Arabidopsis thaliana: one gene and its partners. The protein of the gene in region 2 interacts with the protein of the main gene of each other region in a biochemical or structural test. Each region holds a gene or a part of one and is shown on either strand. Other genes may lie near its edges.

Region 1 (5,230 bases), on a different chromosome or scaffold from region 2:
TCTTAAGTAATTAGAAATTACACCCTTTCTTTTACGTATAATCAACAGTACCCCCTACTAATCATTACCAATTTCTGTGGAACTTAATTGAATCTCACCAAAACAAATAACATATGAAAGACACCAACCTTGTAAGTTAGATTCGAAATGGTTATATGATTTACGACTATATGTACTATCAGTTGTTTGGTGTAGAGTGTAGACAAATCATTGATATTGATCGACCTATCAAAAAGAGTTTGGTGGATAGATATGTGTTTCGACTATATATCGTTGGGGGCTAGTACTATGTTTATATATGTTAAAATGAGTTTAAAACCCGTGAGATTACCCGAATCCATCTATATATTTAATCACTAAATGAACTAAATAAGAAAGTCATTTTTGAAATAATTTTATTGAGATTCTATAGTATCTAAGGTCCATCCTGACAGTTTAAGATCATAATGCTACTGACCAAAGTTTGGTCCTATATTAACTTGTTTTGAGGCGTATGTTAAGAGATCCAAGGTTTATCTATGCTTCCTACGTCAAATTGATACTTAGTAATCAATTTTAATATGATATGTCCGCTCCCGTAGCCAAATTTATAATATCCTGATGGAGAGCTAAAAGATGAAAGATAAAATGTTCAATAAATCAATGTCGAGATATTTATCAAATTGTCTCTTAGGTATGTACGATGCATTAAAATTGAATAAATTTGTTGGAGAATGCAAAAAAAGATGAAAAATGGTAAGTGTGGGATCCAAAAGGAAGTTTATGTCCCACAGTGATCTGAAGGAATCACAAAGGAATGGTTTTTTTGATGCAAACTCTCATAGTCGCTTGAAGGTACTGTCAGACTCCTTTAGTCTTTAGGCTCTTTGGACCATTCTATTTCATTCATTATTCCTACTCTCTCTTTTCCTTACCAACAATCTTTATTTTCTTCAATTCAATTCCCATTTCTAGTGTATTTTTTACAAATAGAACATCAATTATTCCGACAAGGCTTCACATTTTGATCCAACTTGAAGTAAGGCTTTGGTTCATGGTCTAAAAGCCCAGTTAAAGCATTAGGAAGGACAAAAAACACTTTTAGGTTGTTTCTTGATGAACAAGCAACCTTTTTAATAGGTTGACCTTTCTTACGAAATTCACAGGGTTATACAAAATGTTCAGTTGGATACTCATGTTCATATCCGTTGTAATCATAATACAATCTTTCCCCTTTCGATATGTCTCTATTAGCTACGAGAAGAACCCTAGCTTCTCCGTTGATGTTGAACCTCACACACTTCAGGTTCTGCTTCTTCCTCCCTTCTCTGCAATTCACAAAATGTCAACAAATACACAATGAGGACAAGCAATACTAGAATGGTTCCAACTAATTCAGAAGCAGGACCAAAACATGGAGCTCAGGTGTTGTGACCAGAGAGTCGACTTTAAGGAACCAAATAGAAGAGAAGAGAAACTCACGGTGAGTGATTGTTGATGCCACTGATGAACCGGGCGATGTTACTGCGTCTGTCAGGGCAAATTACGAGACATTGCGAAGGATCAGAGGCATGAAGTAGAGTCATCATACTGTCTCCATCATAGTCATCTTCTCTATTGCTCAGATAATCAACATCTCCAACATACTCTGTGATAATTGTCCAGTCTTTTATAAACCTGTCCGCCTCTACTGTGAACCTGTTCAGATAGAAAAAATTAGACTTCAATATAATTATACATTGATAAATGCATTTTCCTACTCTCTTCTTGGTTATAAAGGTCAAAAGAGAAGCTAATAAGAATGTTAAGTACCCTTCATAAGGATCGAAGACGACCATAAGTGGCGGGCATTCACCGAGGTCCATCATTTTCTTGCACAAGGCTAAGGTCTCTACGCCTTCTTTAGATAGAACCTGTATGAAATTAAATACAAAATCAACTTTTCTGTTGATACTTAACCCAACAATGAATGCTTTCAAGAAACCTAAGAATCACCAAACCAATCATATAGATGTGACTGAAGAACAAGAGCAATACATATCAACTTAAGATAGATACCTGCATGCCTCCTTTCTCAAAAGCAGCTTGGTTTGCAGATCTTGGAGCCTTTCCAGATACATAAGTAAGCTCATTGCTGAACTTGGTGTTGGAAGCTCTCAACGCAGTGGCCAGAGACGCCATTTGCTCTAGCCTCCTTTGAGGATCATTGCTAGGATTGTATGGAAGAAGCCTTCTCTTCTTCTTTGACATCACCAAGCTAGTCTTTTTCCGTTTCTTCCCAATACTATCTGCAAACATTTCACTATTCAGATTAATATTTCTAGGGATTTAGATTTCTAATCTGCAAAATTACATACCTGAAGAACTTGAGATTTGAGATGAATCTGGAGACCGCTTAATCCGGAAGAAATCTATAATTTTAGTCTGAATAAGAGGGAAAGCTGCAGATTTACAAAACTTTTCATTAGTAATTCAGCAACAGTGTAATCCAAAACCTGATCTAGTAGTGTTAAATCTGAATCAAATTCGCAAAATCAAATCAAAGACAGAGATCAAGAAACCCAGAAGAATCCTAAAATCTAAAGCTCAACAATAAACATATCCTAATCAAAAGAAGGAAGCTTTGAAATTAGAGTCATGTGGGTATAGTGAAAAAGCTTACATTTAGGGATCTGATGTTTGGAACAAGAAGGGCAGAACCAAGAGCCTTTGGGAACTGAAACGAGGATCGGTCTGAGACAGAAAAGATGAAACCCTTTATCGCATTTGTCGCAAAGAAGCAGCTTTGCTGGTTGTTTACCGGAACTGCATTCTTCGCAGACTGTATCCCAATCGGAATCGGAATCATGATCCGACATGTGTTGCGGTGGTTCGGATCTAGGGTTTGACGCTTGTGTTCTCCTTCGCCTCACAGCCACCATTCTTACACTTATTGATTTACCAGAGAAAGAGAGAGAGTGAGAGATTATAAATGTGAGATCTAGCCGAGGTTGAGTAGAAGAGTTCGCGCTCTGGATTCACCGGATTTTCCCGGGGAATTTTAATTTGGCGCCACTGTTACGGTTTCCCGATTTGCAGACTGGTTTATTTTGGTTTTATCTAACCGATTTTGAGAAATTAGGATTAGATCGGTTCATATATTTTGGTTGTTCGGTTCGGTTCAATTTGATTATCCCACCGGACAAACCAAAACCGACATAAGACTCTCCTTCAATGTAACTTTCAACTAAATTGATTTTGCTCTTTGAACGATGGAGACCAATCTAAAGATCTATCTAGTTTCATCCACCGACTCGTCCGAGTTCACTCACCTGAAATGGTCTTTCACTCGTTCTACGATCATCGCCTTAGACGCCGAATGGAAGCCACAACACTCCAATACGTCGTCGTTTCCGACCGTCACTCTCCTCCAAGTCGCATGCCGACTCAGTCACGCCACGGATGTCTCCGATGTCTTCCTCATTGATTTGAGTTCGATTCATCTTCCATCGGTTTGGGAGCTGTTGAATGATATGTTCGTGTCGCCGGATGTTCTGAAACTAGGGTTTCGGTTTAAACAGGATTTGGTTTACTTGTCTTCGACATTTACTCAACATGGATGTGAAGGTGGATTCCAAGAGGTGATTTGCTTTTGAAAGTCTTGAACTTTGCTTCGTAGTGTTAGTTTAAGCTAATTGTAGTCGAATTCTTATCAAAGTTTTAACCTTTAGCTCTGTTATATTCTCTTGTACTTAAAGTTCTTGTGTTTGGATCACGTGTGGTGTTTATAGATAGGTAAGTATTGATTTGTGTGTTTATTGACTTCTGTTGAAAGTAGATTGTTGAATTGTGTTTTTCTTTTATTTGCCTTTTTAGGTTATGTTGCTTTAAAACTCTATGTTTGTGATTGTTGATGTGAATAGGTGAAACAATACTTGGATATTACAAGCATATACAATTATCTGCAACATAAGCGGTTTGGGAGAAAGGCGCCAAAGGATATCAAGAGCTTGGCTGCTATATGTAAGGAAATGCTGGACATCTCTCTCTCAAAGGTTTGTCAATGATTCCTGCAAGAATTTGACTTTTCGTGAAACGTACTGTTAATAAGGCTTTTCTTAACAGGTTTTTATTCTTTAGGAACTTCAATGTAGTGATTGGTCATATCGTCCTCTTACAGAAGAACAGAAACTATACGCTGCCACAGATGCTCACTGCCTGCTCCAGATATTCGATGTATTTGAGGCGCATCTTGTTGAAGGAATCACAGTGCAAGATCTTAGAGTGATAAATGTTGGCTTACAAGAAATTCTGACTGAATCGGACTATAGCAGTAAGATTGTCACAGTCAAACTTTGCAAGGCTACAGATGTAATCAGATCAATGTCGGAAAATGGTCAAAACATAGCCAATGGAGTGGTTCCAAGAAAAACGACACTAAACACGATGCCAATGGATGAGAATTTGTTGAAGATTGTCAGGAAGTTTGGAGAACGGATCCTGTTGAAGGAGTCTGATCTTCTACCAAAGAAACTTAAGAAGAAAACAAGAAGACGTGTCGCCTCAAGCACTATGAACACAAATAAGCAGTTGGTCTGTTCTGCGGACTGGCAAGGTCCACCGCCATGGGACTCATCTTTAGGCGGTGATGGCTGCCCTAAATTTCTATTGGATGTGATGGTATTTGAATCAATTTCTGTTTTCTGTTGCTCTTTTGTTTCTTGGTTTTATTTAATTAGAGGACAAGAATTTGATTTCACCTATTTAGTATCTTTGTTTTTGAATCTAACCATTTTCAGTAGAATCCATGTGGTATCATAATCAGTTTCTTGTAAAACTACTTTATAGGTTGAAGGTTTGGCGAAACATCTACGTTGTGTGGGGATTGATGCTGCAATCCCACACTCAAAGAAGCCGGATTCAAGGTACTTTATCCTAAAGCTGCTATTAAAGTTTTTCTGTGACATGGGGTTTTGATCACAATATCTGTATAGGATTGATTTTCTAATTGTGATGTTGACACAAATGCCAGGGAGTTGCTTGATCAAGCATTCAAAGAGAACAGAGTTCTATTAACAAGAGATACAAAATTGTTGAGACACCAGGATTTGGCAAAGCATCAAATATATCGAGTAAAGAGTCTTCTTAAAAATGAGCAGCTACTTGAGGTACAAACAAAGTTAATTTTCAACGTATAAGCTGTTATGCAAGATCTGTGATGTGGCATGATTTGGTTTACTAGATTTATTAATCAAAAAGGACACATACCCTG
Region 2 (4,406 bases):
TCAATCCTTAGTCTCTCACTCGTGTTCTTAAGTAATTCAGCATCTTTCCTCACTTCCTCGTACTTGTCCTTCCATTGCTGAGACTCTATCCTAGCAGCCTCGAGCTCTGTTTCCACAATCACAAGCTTCTCTTTCGTTTGGCTACAATCAGTAGCTACCTCTTTCAAAGCTAAAGCCAAATCATCCATTGCTTTCTCGTTAGTCATCTCTGCATCAGTCGCTGATTTAAGCTCGTTCTTAACCGATTTCATCTCTTCTAACAATTCAGAAACCTTTAAAGAAGAGGCTTGTGCAGCCTCATGAGCCTGTGCAAGACTCTCCTTGGTCGATTCCATCTCAGTCTTCAAAGACTCAATATCAAAATCCTGAACAGAACTATCGTCTTCGTCTTCCTCGCTGGAATCTTGGCTATTGTAAGATGTATCTATCTTCTCTTTTAATGAAGCAATCTCTACCTTTGACTCTTCTACCAAAGCTTTGGTTTCCTCTAACTCTCTCGATTGATCTTTAAACGAATCAAGCAGTTTCTTCTCTGCAGCTTCAAGATTCTTGATGAAGATGTCTTTCTTCAATAACTCTTGTTTTAAAGAAACGACTTCGTTTTCTCTGTTCTCAAGGGAAGCTTTCATTTTGTAAAGCTCTGTACCAATATCCGCAACTTTGTTCGATGAATACCTTGGAGAAGCTACATCAATGGACGGTTTCTCATCGACTTCTCCCATAGATGATAGAATGTTTTTTATTCAGCGTTTCCGAGGAATTTTTGGTAATGGCCAATGGGTTTATTAGAAGATTGACTAAGAATATATTTAAGAGGTTGACAAAAAGATCTATTGGTCAAAGAAAGAAAATTTGGTTCAAAGAGGAACTTATTTCCTTATTTTTAGGGTTAGTTTTATCGAGAGCCGTCTATTTTATCGTCTGATATTATTATTTTCTTTGGTCAAAAGTCCAAAATCTGATTCTTTTAAAAGAAAGCATTCAACAAATCCAAAATTATAGAAAAAAATCAGCCATTATTTGAAGAGAAAGCAATGGTGACGAACAAACGAGTTAAGAAAACATAAGAATTTAACAAAAGAGTTAAAAAGAGTTCGCAACACACATAATAATAAGCTTAAAGAACACAACATTCTTAGATTGCAGACTTCTTACTACTCTTACTACTACATACCCAGAGATTTAAAAAACACAGCAATTAAGATCTTGCTTTCATAAAAAACAAAAACTACTTGAACCAAATCTCGGATTCTTGGTTGGCTTAAGCGCGTTCACCTCTGATACGACGAGCGAGCTGAATGTCTTTGGGCATTATGGTCACACGCTTGGCATGAATGGCACAAAGGTTAGTGTCTTCAAAGAGACCAACAAGATATGCTTCTGCAGCTTCCTGGAGAGCTAAGACAGCATGGCTCTGGAAACGCAAATCAGTCTTGAAATCTTGAGCAATCTCACGGACTAGCCTCTGAAATGGCAGTTTCCTGATAAGCAACTCAGTACTCTTCTGGTACTTACGGATTTCACTGAACACCAAAAGATAAGAGGAATGTTAACACACAATGTTACATAATCTCAAAGAATCACATACAAATCGAAGAAGGGACAAACCGGAGAGCAACAGTTCCAGGACGGTAACGATGTGGTTTCTTGACTCCACCAGTAGTTGGTGCAGATTTACGAGCAGCCTGAGGTTAATAAAGAAGGAGATTAACATTCAACTTCACAACACAAGTATTATTTGAAAAAAGAGACAAGAAGGAACAAAACCTTAGTAGCAAGTTGCTTCCTTGGAGCTTTACCTCCGGTGGACTTACGAGCGGTTTGCTTGGTACGAGCCATCTGCGCATTTAACAAGAAATTGAACAGTCAATTGGGGATTTTCATTATCCATAACTAAATTTTGAAGAAATTGGAATACTAAACGTCACCACTTAAAACCCTAATCCAGATGAATCGTTATCGAACCAGATATAACCAAAAGGGGCAAAATTGACTCGAAAACCCTAGTTCTCGATACACGGCTAGGTAATGACAATCGCACACAGACAAATCTGGTTATACAGAACTTCGAAGCAAGAAAAAAACGATGAAGAATGGATCATCCAATAAATCGACTAGACTCAATCTTCACAGGTTTATCGATCCAGCAAACTTAAAAGACGGACCTTTATTTTCAAACTGGAATGGGACAAAACCCGAAACTCTATTGTCGTAAAATCAGATCGCGGAGACAGTAACAGAAAAAACATTAAAAAGTAATGGAAAGACCTAAACCCCTGATCTAATTACAAACAAATCATACCTGTTCTTCGCCTGAGCTGACTTTTGTTTTGTTTTGTTTTTTTGTCTTTCGTAACAAAAGCAGTAATAGGGGATGATTGAAGTAGTGGTTGTGGCCGCAATGTAGTTGAATTATTATTTATAATACTCACGAAAGGGTTATCACGATACGCTCCTTTGTGCTTTCTCACATTCTTTATCCTACGGTTCAAACTATTGTACATTGTGTTTTCTCAACACAGCCCAACGGCCACGATTAGAGATTTTAAGTGTCACACGGATTACCAATTTCGTGAACGTAAAAGTTGTTGATATTGAAAAGAACTTTGAAACAGAAAGCTTATTGATAAACAATAAAACTCAATCATACAATATCGAACAGATACAGATGAAACAAGAGTCAGAAACTTTAACATATTCATATGTTTCAGAGATGAATTCAACAACAAAAGGTGTTCAACATTGCCAAAGAAGAAAGCAATACACACCACAAAACGTAGCTAAGAAGAACACAAGCAAATCATAAACCGACTAGACAAGAAACAGAAAGAAAAGAAAAAAAAAACACCATTGTTTCCAAGTCTCCTACACCCAAAAGCTTTTTAAGCCATTATCTAATTCCAACTATCTATTTAGAAAACCACCCACATTCACATAATCCAACTACTTCCCAATCACAATTAAGCACGTTCTCCTCTGATCCTGCGAGCGAGCTGAATGTCTTTGGGCATTATGGTCACACGCTTGGCATGGATGGCGCAGAGGTTAGTGTCCTCAAAGAGACCCACAAGGTATGCTTCAGCAGCCTCCTGGAGTGCAAGCACAGCATGGCTCTGGAAACGCAAGTCAGTCTGCAATCAAAGAGACAAGATAAGAACACAAGGTTATGACAAAACAAGTAAAAAGTTAAATCCATTTGTAGACTGAATCAGACGAACAGACACATTACCTTGAAATCCTGGGCAATCTCACGAACTAGCCTCTGGAAAGGGAGCTTCCTGATCAGCAACTCGGTACTCTTCTGGTACTTACGAATTTCACTGTCAATCAAGATCAATAAAACAGAGAAACAGAGTTTAATCAATGACGATATCAATAAAGTAAAAACACAATTGAATTTGGGGAAGAAACAGATTGCATACCGTAGTGCAACAGTTCCTGGACGGTAACGATGGGGCTTCTTGACTCCTCCAGTGGTTGGTGCAGACTTACGTGCAGCCTTAAATTAAAACATCCACCAATTAGAACAAATCTAGAAATGTGTTTATCAAGCTACTCAGATCACATGTGAGAGCCCGAGTCTTACCTTTGTAGCAAGCTGCTTCCTAGGAGCCTTTCCTCCAGTAGACTTACGAGCTGTTTGCTTAGTACGAGCCATCTGTTCAACAAATTAACAAGATTTAGATCCATACGTATTCAATTGCCGGAATGTATCGTAAGATCAACACAAAACCAAAGAAAATCCCTAATTGCAATCGCATAATCAAGAAAATCAAAACCCTAATCAACAATCGCCGAATAAGAACAATCTATTTACACATGTGAAAACTATCGAGAATTTCAGAGATTCTAGACAAAGAAACTATCTGGTGATGAAATCTAGCTATACGATTCATCTCTAACCTAAAATCTTTATCCGGAAGATCATTCGGCGAAGAAACAAGATAATGGCCAAGAATAGAAACTAATCTCGCCTAATTTCGTACCACCTATCGAGCGATTCCAGTAGTTTCACGATCACCGAAAAAATATTTCCAGGAAAATCAAAGAGGATCGAAGAATCGTACCTCAGAAAACTCTCTAGCTTCTCCGAATTTCAAACTTGAGCTCCGAATTCGAAAAAGATAATATTGTCAGTCTTCACGCGTGTACGGCTATTGATATTAATTTATAGGCAACGATGGTAAAGCGGATTTATATGATCGGACGGTTTTTATCGATTATCAATGTGTTTCTCAAGTTTTCTAATCGTACGGGTAAAAATATCACAACATGTGCTTTCTTGCACCAATTCAACGGTCCAGATCTAGCTTTACTGGTTTGACGAGGATCACCACTGCTACATAATTGATTGCTATTGGCTGAATACAAACCGTCGCGGATCGCTGAAATAAACCGTTCGGATT
Region 3 (5,104 bases), on a different chromosome or scaffold from region 2:
AAAGTCGTACGGAATCGCTCGCTGTGGTTATATAAAAGAAAGATGAAAAGATATAAGTAAGATACATGTCTGATATTAATATAAAACAGTGAAAAATCAGTGAGCTTTTACACATCCCATCAAGAATCTGAGTACAAAGTTTCAAATCTAACCATGAAATCAGTGAGCTATAACACACAAATGACAAACACAACAAGACGGTGAAAATGAACAGAACAGATCTCATCCACAAGAAATAAAGTACACATCTTCACATTCAGACAGAGAACTGAGAACTAAGAGAAGCACAAAACCATGAAAAAAGTTCCTCAGAAAAGAAAAACAAAAGCTTTTTCTAGACCCATAAAGACAGTTAACGACAAGATTCAAACCTTTAAGAAACCGAAAGTTTAACCTTTCTAGACTAAGCTAATTCAACAACATAAAGAGTTTAGAACATAGTTTACCGTGTCCTCTGAAGACATGTCGGAACGCTTAAGAACTTTGAAGAAGCTTTCCTGCTTCCTCTCTTCTTTGCACCAAAGAAAATCAGGGTTACTTGCCATCTCTCTCCTTTGAAATGTTCTGATTCAAGCTCTCACCTACAAGTTTTGCTCCTTCAACTTGCTCGTCTCTCTCACTCTCTATCTCCTCTCGTAATATTTTTCTCTCTGTCTTGTTGAGCCGTTGAATATGTAGCAAAGCACCACTTAAAATTTCAAAGATATGATTCAATCAAAGTGGTCAAAGTGAAAAAAGCTTTCCTCTCAATACTGAAACTGTAGTACAATTGTGACTTCATCCTTTTTGGATGTGTTCATTTAATTCATAGCATGCGATTATTATGCATAACAGATGAATCTCTTTTGGCGTTAATACATTTCGGTGACTGGAAATAAGAAGTACGACACTAGGCAAGTACTGTAATTATACTTTTCTGTTTAGGTAATGACTGTATTGGATTAGTTCTTCATTTTGATAAATTTATGAAGAAGAGTATAAAAGAAATTATAACTTATTTGGCAACCACTTAAGGTGGTGAAGTTGTCTCCAAGAACATATAAGAAAAAGGTTAGGATTTCATTTGATATCAAACAAAAGTTCAGCAATTGACATTTGCCACATCTTAATCTCTGTAATGTCATTCCAAATCCAATTATTCTACCGCTAACTTCATAATTAAAGGCCATATATTCAGCAGCCCTACATTTATAATTGACCTGTAATATGGCAACAAAAAGAACATCTGATCTAGAGACTCTGTAGAACTGTTAGAATTGAAAGATCAGAGGAAGTGATGAGTAGGATACTCATGTTCATAACCATTGTAGTCATAATAGAGCCTTTCCCCTTTCGATATATCGCGTGTAGCCACTAGAAGAACTCGACATTCGCCGTTTATGCTATACCTCACGCATTTGCAGTTCTGCTTCTTCTTAGCAACCCTGCAACAATCAGTGTGATGTGATGATTCAATGTTATAAACCAGTTTAGTGGGGGGAAAACAATTTTGAATTTGTTGCTTACGGATTGTGATTGTTAATGCCATTAATGAAGCGAGATATGTTTCCAAACTTGTCTGGACAGATAACAAGAGTCTTTGAAGGATCTTCTGATAAAAGGAGAGTCATGATGCTGTCACAATCGTCTTTTTCTCGGTTTTTCAAGTAATCAACATCCCCTGTATATTCAGCTATGAATGTTAAGTCCTTAATAGGACCATCTGCTTCAACTGTGTAACTGTACAAACGGAATAACCAAAGAACATGTTTACAACTCCACTTTGTCATTATGGGAAGGTTGATCGAAGGAATAGAGAGAGATACCCTTCAAGCGGATCAAATACCACAACGAGAGGAGGGCATTCTCCTCGTCTATACATAGATTGACATTGTTCCAATGTCTCTAAATCTTCTTTGCATAGCACCTGCGAAAAGTAAAAACCGAGATAAACAATCAAGGAAGTAACTTAAAATAAGAGAGTTATGGATAAATGGCTGAAAGATTGTTTTTGTTTATTACCTGCATCCCACCTTTCTCTAACTTGGATTGATTTGCAGACCGAGGAGCCATTCCGGGAACATAATTTAAACCATCGCTGTATTTGATACCCAATGCCGTTAATGCAGAAGCAAGTGTTCCCATTTGTGCAAGCCTCTGATCAGGATCTTCTGATGGAACCAAAGGTAAGAGTTTTCTCCTTCTTTTCTTCACTGTCAAAGAGCAAGATCGTCTCCGCTTTCTAGTTTCTTCTTCAAAACAAAGAAATCTCAATCTCAAACACTTGTTATTAGTTTAATCCTGAAGCATCTATGATCTATGTATATGATATGTATAAGTTCTCATCAATGCTTATTAACCCTACATAAGGTGCAACAAAATTTCAAGCATATAATAGGCCAAAGTTAAGCTATTTCATATTCATCTAACTATTTAATCAAGTGAAACATCTCGTCAGATTCATCAACTCAAGAACTTTATGATCATATCATGAAATCCAAAAACAAAAATCGCACCTTGACTCAATTCCAATTTGTCTGTTTGATGAGTATGCTTCTCAATCCGAAAGAAATGTAAAATCTTCTTCTGAGATAACCCTAAACATTTCACCGGACAAGAGAAAAATCCATTTTTTTATTAAACAAAGAACACAAGAAAATTAGGAAATTTAAAAGCGAAGAAACAAAAAATCCATACTTCTTACAGGTCGTTGGTCGGAACAATCGACACAAAGCCAAGTTCCAATGGGGACACGAACAACAATGGGTCTAAGGCATTTCATGTGAAAGCCTCTATCGCATTTGTCACAGAGAAGAAGCTCATCGTCTCCTTCTCCAGAACCACATTTCTCGCAGGTGACGTTACTGTAGCTGTCTTCGTCTTCTTCTTCTTCTTGTTCAACCACAGGGACAGATTTCGCCATTATCTCAGCCATTGATTTCATCTTCCTCGGTGGTGGAGATTCGGAGGAAGGGCGTCTCGCTGGAGCTTTCGTTCGTCGCCTCGATGAGCAAGGAGACGCCGCAGGGGAGGATGCGTTCCATGTGGCCATGACGGAAGCTCACGACGAAGAGTCGCCGGAGAACGGGATATATGATTTTGATTGGTTGGGGCTAATGTGCACCGCCGCGTGTGCGCACGAAAACTGATGTGCGCATCACCTGGAGTGTAATTTGGGATTCTTCCTTTGAGACTCTTCTTTATCGGCTCTTTTGTTTTTTTGACCTTTGACAAATTCAAAATTACTGGTATGTCTTAAAAGGTTTAAACATTGTAAGTGATACTAATAAATTTACAACCATTAAAGCCTTTTAATTGTTACTAAATTTCTTAACTAAATTTTACTTATTTAATTTACTAGGGATTGATATAAAAATTAATACAGTATTAACTATACTATACAAACGTAATTACAAAAATAGATATCTTTCAATTGAAAAAAAATATATGTTGGTGGGCTCAATACAAACACAGTAAACGTCAATTTCGTCAACTGAGCCACCCCAACGCCAAGCCCAACAGTCGGTCCGCCTCATTGGAGGCTCAAGTTCTTTATTTGACAAGCTAAACCAAAGTGTTCTGGTTTGACCAACAATGTAATATTACATAAATCTGAATCTATAAAATACAAAATTTAATAAATTATGTCTTATGGTTTAACATAATTTTCTGTTTCCGATTTAAGAATTTTTCGCCATATTGATTTTCATAATTTTATATACATATATAATATCTTTCAATTGTAAATTTTTATCTTATAATTTTATATATGAATAGTTTTCTCTATTTTTTTCAAGGTTTTTAATTAATAAGAAATTGCGGTGTTAGCGTTAATGAAATAGTTATGGTATAGACTATAAAGAATAATATACATAATTGGAACAAGTGAAATGGTTGTTTGATATATTCTTGACGATGAGAGCAAAACTTTCTTATCATATTTTCTGAACCGGGGTGTATGCTAGGTAATTTTGTGGCTAAGTCCTTTATTAAGGTTGTTGCACTTCTTCACAAGGATGAAAACTTAAGTCTTGCATCGGTGGATGCTTCAAGATATTCATATATGCTCGCCATGTAAGTTTTGCTTATACTAATACTGTTTAAGTCATAGTATTCCAAAAAAATCAAAGAAATAAGACTATTACTGGTCCATCACAATGGATTCCCTTCGAGAAGCCCGCATCGATCTTTCTATGCCTTATGAGTTTTGTCCCTATGAATATGAGGAATATGAAAAACATTCTTGACCTTGCTTCTACTACCGTTAAAGTATGATGTCTCTCTCTTCTCCATGTATCTTGTTACATTCATGCTTGACCAATTTGTTTGTGTTTCATTCATGACCAGTTTGCTTGTGTGTTGTAGATGATGCGTCATTGCTTCGATTATTGGCGTAGTAATGAATTTCCCTTGTTTAAAAACCTTGTTAAACTATCGTTTGAGTCTAAGACGAAAAAAGGTTGGAAAGTTCTTTGGACTCTGATAAAAAGCTCTCCCAATCTAGAAACTTTGATCCTCAAGGTTTGTATGTATAATATGATCTCTTTTTCTCTTTCTCAATTATAAATTTAATCTCGGAGTTTCACTTACTGTGTGTTCTTTTCTTTTCTATCCGTTGTTTCAGGGTTTTCAGTGTGTAAGTACTTGTGGGTATAGCATTGATGGAAATACGTTGAAGGTGTTGGAGTTATACGGGTGTAGAGGGAATCTTAGAGAAGTCGAACAAGTGAGGCTGTTCTGTCGGAAAGTGAATTTCTTCAAGTAATGAAAGTGGAAATTGGTACTAAGGTTGATGTTGACAAGAAATTGCAACTCACCAAAGACCTCCTTCCTTATCCTAACGTTCCTCCAAATGCCAAATCCACTTCTTGTAATCTTTTAAATCCAATTTTGTTTTTGACTGCTCAATCAATCAAGATTCAGTTTGTTTTAGATACAAAGACAACATCTCCCTTGATAGAGCATATTGATAGCTTTACTTTTAATACGATTTTGCCAAGTCCAAACATAAAATTCTGGTTTAGAGTATCAACATTGCAATGATACTAGTACTAAAGAACATTGCAATTTATTCTCAAAGTTCTAATGGCATTGGCCGTGATAACAATTCCATTCACCTTCCAAA
Region 4 (7,402 bases), on a different chromosome or scaffold from region 2:
GGTAGGCCAATTAAGAGCCGAGCATTCAACTTTAATTAATCGTCTTAGTGACATGAATCATAAGTATGATGCAGCTGCTGTTGACAACAGAATTCTAAGAGCTGATATCGAAACTTTGAGAACAAAGGTACTCTTGTGACTCACGAGTGTTAAGAATTTAAAACACCCAAGATTATGATTTAATAACTAAGTTAATTGCATTGATAAAAAACCTGTGCAGGTTAAGATGGCAGAGGAAACTGTGAAAAGAGTGACAGGAGTGAACCCTTTGCATTGGTCAAGACCAAACATGGGCATACCATTCAGCAACACACCGAGTGCTTCCTCTAGTATTCCGCCAAACTCTAACCACATTTTGAAACCAGCAAATTCAAGTACCAACACCAGTGCTGGTTTAGCACAAAATCAGAGAGTGGAGACGGCAAATTTCTTGCCGGAACAGGTGAACCGTGAAGGCATGCAGAATCCATTTGCTCCTGATTCTAATCTGTATGAAACCCTACCCCATTGGAATCACAAGCATTAACCAGAAAAAGAGTCATTGGTTTTGTGATTTTGATTGAGGTAACTATTGTCTGTATTTTTATTTACTGTATGACTCAGCGACGGTAAACTCTTAATATTATATATATGATTGGACATGATGGAAGAATGTATAAGCTATCGTGCTTCTAAGGCAAATCGAAGTTGAAATGGTCGTAGACGTAATCACGTAAACATGTGCAGCAGCGTAAGCGTATAAACACAAATGTATCAATAGTTACTTATGGCAAACGTAACCGTTTTAACGAAATGTTGAGCAACAACAACTCACATTCATCAGATTAAAGAAATCTGTGCAGCGTAAGCGTGAGTGTAAGCGTGTAAACACAAATGACCCATGACGCTCATTCTCTTCACCATTGTTGATCCGATCAAAACCACCGAAACTGGTGATCCCGTTCGATATCAAAATTTGGTTATGTGATTTTCATCAGAAACATTTAGTAAAATGAAATGTGTCTTTACAGTTGGAAATAAGCTTTATAGAACAAATTTAACCTACAAAGTAAAAACTTAAACATTCTGAATCTAACTAAATCAAATATTTACCTATCCGAAAAAAAAACATACAAACAATTAAGCTCCAGTATACATGGGCCTAAAATAGTATACATGTATTCCCAGTTCCAATGAAAGTATCTTAAAATGAAAGATCTAGAAAATGATATTAATATAACCTCTACCATCTTCTTCTATTGAGATTTAGCACCAGATTGGAGACCTGCTTGTACTTTGCTATGGAAGTGTGTTTCCAACCTTTTAAGAGAAAGAAAAACAAAGTAAATGCACTATTTCATTACTGAATAAGAAGAGAAGAAATGAAATGAAAGAAAAAAACGTCTTACCTGGTTGCACATTTGTAATAAATGGTATCGGGGGAGTTGTAAGTTCTACAATTGTTAAACATCCGTCTCGCATCCGCAACAAACATATCCAATGTCACGTAATACTGTTCCGACTCTACCCTCTTTGCAATTACCTTCAGATCTGTGTTCAAACCATTTTTTGGTTACCAAAGTGATTTAACACTTCTACTTAAAAAGAGGACAAATTCTGGATAATTAATAGCGAAATTGATATTTTAACTATATCTTCTTACCAATGGGATCCTTAATGATGTCATAGTAATCAGGGACATCGCGAGAATCCACTGGTTCTTTGAAAGGCCAAGCATCAGCATGGTCTTGCATTGTCTGTAGCAATTAACTACAGCTTGTCAAATTAAAGGGCATGTAATTGCAATAACATAATATGTAAGAGGACATAATAATTAATAACAAAACAAAAAAGATTTATCACAACCTTTAAAAGCGCACGCATGAGTGCATTCAACTGTTTTTGATTTGTCACCATATCAGCAGAACCATTGAATAATTTGAAACGAGTGTGCCCCCACTGATCTGGGGTCCAACCAGCTTCCCCTGCAACAGTATACCATAATTCATGAATTAGCCAATTCATGTATTACAGATAAACCCTTAGCCCACAGCTAACAAATGCAGGAGAATCTCAAACATGCATATCAACTTGATCTCATGGAGCGACTAGCACAATCTTAATTTTGAGATGACTAGAACATTTTAAAGGGAGATATGTCTATATTTTGGGTAAGAAACTGCAATAACACCATCAAGTAGAATCATAACTTACTTAAGCCACGTATTTCCTCAACTTTGATAATCTTTCTAGGAATTCCAGCTTCATTCTGCAAAAATCATCTCATTTATTATTACTACTGGAAACATTGTATACAATAATAGCCACAAGACATGAAACCATTGATGTTTACCTTTAGAAACTCAATTTTTGGATACACATTCTGACAGTTTGATAACTCTCTTATCCTTTCATCAATTGCCTGATATTATAAAAGTACAACCGGATCAGAAACTGATACGTATAATTAGACAGAAATGTAACAATGGTTACTCGTTTAGTGTTACGTTGCTATGCTCTCTTGAAAGCAGATAGCTTTTGGGAGGGCAGCTTGATTTTTGGGCTCATAGGGGAAGACAGGAATTTCCATTAATTAATTCCTCGAGAGAGAGAAGAGAGGAACTTTCAATAATCGAATCCTCAAGTTTGTATTTCTTATGTTTTTAATTTTTTTCAGAATCAGCCATAATGCTAGAGTTAAATAGTGAAAGTAAAGAAAGTAAACAAATAGCTTCGTAACCTGAAGAACTATTTGGGTATAGATGAACCTGAAGGCTCGAGATATTTTTTCACCACATAAAAGGTATTTTCAAAGGCTTACCTTTCTTTGCTGGCGTATCATGCTTGACAAATCCGTATATGGCAGCTTTGGATCAATTTTGCATTCCATAAGGAGACCACCATCATAGTCTTTAATGAACCTAAGAAAATTTCAAAGGTTTTTATTTGCAAAAGTAAGTTTCAAGATGAAGAAGAGAATGATAAAGACAAGTTTTAAATAGCTCTCTCGTAGCATAATCAGCCACGCAATAAAATGCTTGTATTCTAAGGTTTGTGAGCTTAATTGGGCCAACAAATATTTAAGTTAGACATCATACAGATAAAGCACAGAAGTTAAGAATGGTAAATGAGCAGTTTGAACTTAAGAGATACATAGTTTCCATACCCATGCCATACATCTTTCTCCAAGTAAATCTCTTTAGTAAAACCCTGCACAAGATAATAGACGTAACAGATCAACTTAGTGGACGACTGTAAGAATATAAAAATTACAGTTAGAATCCAGAAAGTAGACTTGATAGCTAAGTGTGGAAACAGAACTTTTAGAAGTGAAACTCTGAGGTATCTCCTATTAACCAATAGAAAACATTACATCCAAAACACAGTTCAACTACTTTTCTGGAATGTACTACAGTTGGTCGAAGTTTGTTGAGAGATTAAAAATAGAGCAAAAAATTGCACAATATACGAAACACCAACCTGCTTGACGAAGTAACCAACAGCATTGTTGTCAGCATAAGTAAGAAAATGCGTCAATCCATCAACATCACGTGCATGTTGTTTCAAGTGGTTCATCAATCTGGTACCGTAACCTTTTACTTGTTCATCTGCTGTGATTGCACAAAATGCTATTTCCCCAAACTTCTGACTGAATCCCAGGGAAACAATGGAGTTAATAAGCATGTCAAGACTGTATTCATGCTCATTATGACATCAGACAGTTTCAGAAATATTCTATAGGAAAAGTAAGCTGTGTTTGATGATAATATAAGATAACAAGTCAACATGCTACTCTCTAAACAGCAAAAAGCTGTATAAGCGTATTCACATACATATGGTGGAGAAAATCATCACTGGGTCAAAAGATGGGAAGAGTTATGCGAAAACCTTACCTGTGATATGGACGATACGTGATACCACCTACAACTAGATTCCCTCTTAGTACCATAACAGACTTATGTTTCCTGGGCAAATAACATAAGTTACAGATATTAGAATGCTTACCATTTGCGATTGTTTGTTACAAAAATTGTCAATGTTTCACTTTAGTTTAGCATGTTTACCTATCCATCAGAAGACGAACAATGTACTCCTTGGGCATATTAGGTAACTGTCTTGCAAAAATGTTCTTCAACCCAATCAAGCTGGAATACATTCAACAAATTATTCATAAAAAACGAGGTTAGAACGAAGAATGCATAGCTGATTAGAAGCTAAATTCAATGGCAGGAGACAAATGATGGAAGGCATTACCACATCATATGCTCATCAATGGAATCATTTGAGTAACAAACAAATTTGAGTCGTCCTGCTTGCTCCTAAATGAAAGATATCACCAAATTTGTCAATGGCGATTCTCTGAACTCATCTAGTAATTCATTAGCATAGATCCAGTGATAAGCTACCTCTCTTTTCAAAGCCTCTTCTCTGGCAATGTAAGCTCCGCTAGTCTGGAAATTCTCAGCCAATACCTTAACAGACTCATCCTTTGGCACGAGCCCTGAGATTGAGCTTCCTCCAACAGTGCCACTCACACCAGTCCCAACCACAGATGATCCACCATCTTTTCCACCATCAGAGCTCTCAAGCTTCACCGTGGAGCTTTCCGTCTTAAGTTTAGTGTTGCGACTCGAACCGTTGACTCCAGAGCTGGAATCGAGTCGAGCGGCGGTGAATGTGCGGATAGAAGAGTCCTGGTCCTGTTCAGGAGCAAATTCGTCCTCGTCATCATCCACGACTATATCCTCTGATTCATCAGGATCTGAATCTGTATCGGCGCCGCGAGCGGAGATGCTCTCGAGTTCATCGTTGGAGGTTAAAGCGCCGTCGCGAGTATCGGCAGAGAAGGAGGAAGGAGGGAAAGAGGAAGAAGGAGGGGCGTGATCTTCAGAAGCGGCTGCATTCGCTGCCGTGGTGGCGGCGAGTTTGCGTTTGTGGAGAGAAGAAGTGACGGAGGCGGAGGCGGAATGAGAAGGAGAAGGAGTCTGAGAACTGCGGGAACGATTGGCGGCGTTGAGGTGGGAAGAGTGAGAGTCCATCGAAGCAGTATAGTGAAGGTGATTGAGAAAATCGTGACGAAATCGAGAGTCTAGGGTTTTTGCTCAGATAATTTGGGGGCGGGAAAGACTACGCCGACGAACGGAATATTCTGGCATCGTTTTTTTTTTTTTGTTTTATTGATCCAACAAATTTTAAACCGAAACTAATTCGGTAATTGTAATTCCTATGAGTAAATTTATGCAGTGATTAAAATGTGATTAACTATATTGGTCGGATATAAACAGTACAATTCGTCGGTAAATTATTTAAAAGTTCAGTATACTTTTTGGATGAACATTAACGTCTTTAATCCGTTTATGTGTTGTTTTATTTTATAGTATGTTGTTAAATTTAACTTCACAAAATTTAATGTGTTTGGAATCTGTTACTAGTATTTAACAAGGAAACACAATTTGCTGGTGACAGATTTTGCTATCTCTAATCAACTTTAGTCTTGAAGTAGTGTTACAACATAAATGGTCAATAGAGCTTGTTTACCAAATGTAAAACGAGGAGAATGACAACTTGATAGTGGTAATTTCTTATAAAAAAACACAATTAGAAGAGGTGTAAGCAAGTGTGGCAACTCTTCTTCCCATATATATATGCAAATCCAAGCTTGTACATAAATAATTAGAGGGACGACCTTATATTTCGACATACAAAGATATGTTTTTATTTTTTTAGGCATTAGACGTTAAAGCACCACTTGACATTAGAATACAACAGAGAGACCAAGTGCAGTCGACAATGCATACAAAAAGGCAGGAAGATCGGAAGTTGATGCGGCTGTGACCAGCTTGTCGTCGGTCACGCACCGTTCAGATTCCACGATCTCACCACCAGCAACCTTCACAGCCACCTTTGTCCCATAACTACTTGCACATCTCTTCTTCTGCAATGTAATAATATAGCATGCCACAATGGGAATTAGATGAGTTATAACAAGCTGGCAAAAATTATAATCTATGCTAAGGAAGTGGTGCCATAAATGTGATGAATTATATCTTACTAACCTTCAACAATATGCTGGAATAATATTAGTCATAACCATAACCATAGGAGATTCCTATGTGCTTAGAGCAACTTATCTTGACATTTTTGTTTCGTTTAAATTAAAATATGGTTTGGTTCGGCTTCAGTTTTAACTTTTAAGTCTTTAGAATAGTAAAACGAATTTTTGTAAAACGGTGTATATTACCTTAAGGGCGCCTGTGGCGGCAAGTAGCCAATTTCCCATTCCAATGGCAGCAACAAACTTGCCTTTCTCAACAAACTTTCTGACCAATTCGACGGCCTTGGGGTTCATCACCAAGAGCTCCGGAGATCTTCCTCCGGGAACCACAATGCAGTCGTAATCATCCACAGAGACATCATCCCACGCAACGGTCACATAGAAGTTGTGACCAAACTTCTCAGTAGGAAGTTGCCGTCCGTCTTCAAGGTCGTGTACGATTGTAGCGCATTTCTCACCTCTCTTCTTGGTTGGCGTCACTGCATCCACTTTACATCCCAAAGCTTGAAACGCTTTAAATGGTACGTTGATACTATAATCTTCAACACAATCCTAAATATACCAAAATTACGTATTAGTCAGACCATTTTTTTAATTCCAATATATAAAGTCTAAAAGAGAGTCTTATGAAAATAAGCTACTTACCCCAATCAAGAAAAGCAAAGAAGTCTGATGATTCTCTTTAGAGCTAGAAATCTTGGAGCCAAGTGATTCTAACAAAACTTTGAGACTATGGCCAAGCGTTGGCCACCCCATAGTGGACATGAAACTGCCGTCCTTGACACAATCAGTGATTTCGAAAAGGGTCTGGACTCCAGGCTGTTGCCACCATGCGCCGCCGGAGAGCTCGATAAACGGTTTCATGCTTTCGAACGCCGTGCACTTCATTCCACCGGTGAGCAGACCTGCCGCCGCAAGAAACAGCTGGCTGTGGCAGCTCGTGAAGATGAGCTTCTTGAGTTCGGCGAATCTAGCAACAAGACTCACGCATTTCTCGTCGGCGCTCAAAAGTTCCGTGAAACGTCCACCGGGAATGATGATGGCGTCGTATTGGTCGGGGATGACGCCATCGAAGTTAGCGTTTAGTGTTAGATGGTCAACCACCAGTTCGGTGTATATCTGTAAAAAGGTAAAAGTCAAATTGAAACTCTTCTTTTTTACTGTTAAGAGTAGGCCCATGCATTTTGGGTTGAGACCACCCAATTATCTAAACTTTTTGGATAAAGATAATAAAGGGGAAAGTCCACCCAATTATGAGCATTTGATCGCATTGTTTTACTAAATATGCAAAGAACGATTGCAAGGGAAAAAAACTGAAATGAAGAAAAAGTGAAAGATTCGAGAAATGCCTCGAGGCCAAGGAGATCG

The links.
Region 1: of the proteins of AT4G40030 (region 2) and ATXR6, one has a biochemical effect on the other in vitro, tested with the Arabidopsis thaliana proteins (one study listed by BioGRID).
Region 3: of the proteins of AT4G40030 (region 2) and ATXR5, one has a biochemical effect on the other in vitro, tested with the Arabidopsis thaliana proteins (one study listed by BioGRID).
Region 4: of the proteins of AT4G40030 (region 2) and HAG1, one has a biochemical effect on the other in vitro, tested with the Arabidopsis thaliana proteins (one study listed by BioGRID).

Annotation. Positions count from the first base shown.
Region 1 is NC_003076.8:8,294,098-8,299,327, forward strand, and holds ATXR6 (TRITHORAX-RELATED PROTEIN 6), read right to left. Parts: upstream 3,063-5,230; 5' UTR 2,901-3,062; coding exon 2,642-2,900; intron 2,421-2,641; coding exon 2,337-2,420; intron 2,268-2,336; coding exon 2,038-2,267; intron 1,893-2,037; coding exon 1,792-1,892; intron 1,678-1,791; coding exon 1,462-1,677; intron 1,308-1,461; coding exon 1,148-1,307; 3' UTR 1,013-1,147; downstream 1-1,012. Other genes in the region: AT5G24340 (3'-5' exonuclease domain-containing protein), read left to right, coding at 3,231-3,599, 3,882-4,013, 4,099-4,638, 4,807-4,883, 4,991-5,126. UniProt on the Arabidopsis thaliana protein: Histone methyltransferase that specifically monomethylates 'Lys-27' of histone H3 (H3K27me1). Has higher activity on nucleosomes containing H3.1 than H3.3. Involved in the formation of constitutive heterochromatin and the silencing of heterochromatic elements.
Region 2 is NC_003075.7:18,554,579-18,558,984, forward strand, and holds AT4G40030 (Histone superfamily protein), read right to left. Parts: upstream 2,327-4,406; 5' UTR 2,250-2,326; coding exon 2,166-2,249; exon of another isoform or gene 1,924-2,165; intron 1,840-1,923; coding exon 1,768-1,839; intron 1,686-1,767; coding exon 1,609-1,685; intron 1,524-1,608; coding exon 1,262-1,523; 3' UTR 1,040-1,261; downstream 1-1,039. Other genes in the region: AT4G40020 (Myosin heavy chain-related protein), read right to left, coding at 1-722; AT4G40040 (Histone superfamily protein), read right to left, coding at 2,961-3,131, 3,230-3,320, 3,423-3,499, 3,587-3,658. UniProt on the Arabidopsis thaliana protein: Variant histone H3 which replaces conventional H3 in a wide range of nucleosomes in active genes. Constitutes the predominant form of histone H3 in non-dividing cells and is incorporated into chromatin independently of DNA synthesis.
Region 3 is NC_003076.8:3,037,940-3,043,043, forward strand, and holds ATXR5 (TRITHORAX-RELATED PROTEIN 5), read right to left. Parts: upstream 3,223-5,104; 5' UTR 3,032-3,222; coding exon 2,677-3,031; intron 2,577-2,676; coding exon 2,496-2,576; intron 2,232-2,495; coding exon 2,002-2,231; intron 1,907-2,001; coding exon 1,806-1,906; intron 1,720-1,805; coding exon 1,507-1,719; intron 1,425-1,506; coding exon 1,265-1,424; 3' UTR 1,041-1,264; downstream 1-1,040. Other genes in the region: AT5G09780 (Transcriptional factor B3 family protein), read right to left, coding at 1-21, 447-545. UniProt on the Arabidopsis thaliana protein: Histone methyltransferase that specifically monomethylates 'Lys-27' of histone H3 (H3K27me1). Has much higher activity on nucleosomes containing H3.1 than H3.3.
Region 4 is NC_003074.8:20,211,209-20,218,610, reverse strand, and holds HAG1 (histone acetyltransferase of the GNAT family 1), read right to left. Parts: upstream 5,206-7,402; 5' UTR 5,019-5,205; coding exon 4,386-5,018; intron 4,299-4,385; coding exon 4,234-4,298; intron 4,125-4,233; coding exon 4,044-4,124; intron 3,945-4,043; coding exon 3,873-3,944; intron 3,629-3,872; coding exon 3,460-3,628; intron 3,190-3,459; coding exon 3,146-3,189; intron 2,901-3,145; coding exon 2,801-2,900; intron 2,402-2,800; coding exon 2,333-2,401; intron 2,249-2,332; coding exon 2,194-2,248; intron 1,965-2,193; coding exon 1,846-1,964; intron 1,737-1,845; coding exon 1,643-1,736; intron 1,531-1,642; coding exon 1,389-1,530; intron 1,300-1,388; coding exon 1,236-1,299; 3' UTR 958-1,235; downstream 1-957. Other genes in the region: BZIP25 (basic leucine zipper 25), read left to right, coding at 2-127, 221-526; DJ1F (Class I glutamine amidotransferase-like superfamily protein), read right to left, coding at 5,735-5,914, 6,221-6,586, 6,680-7,153, 7,384-7,402.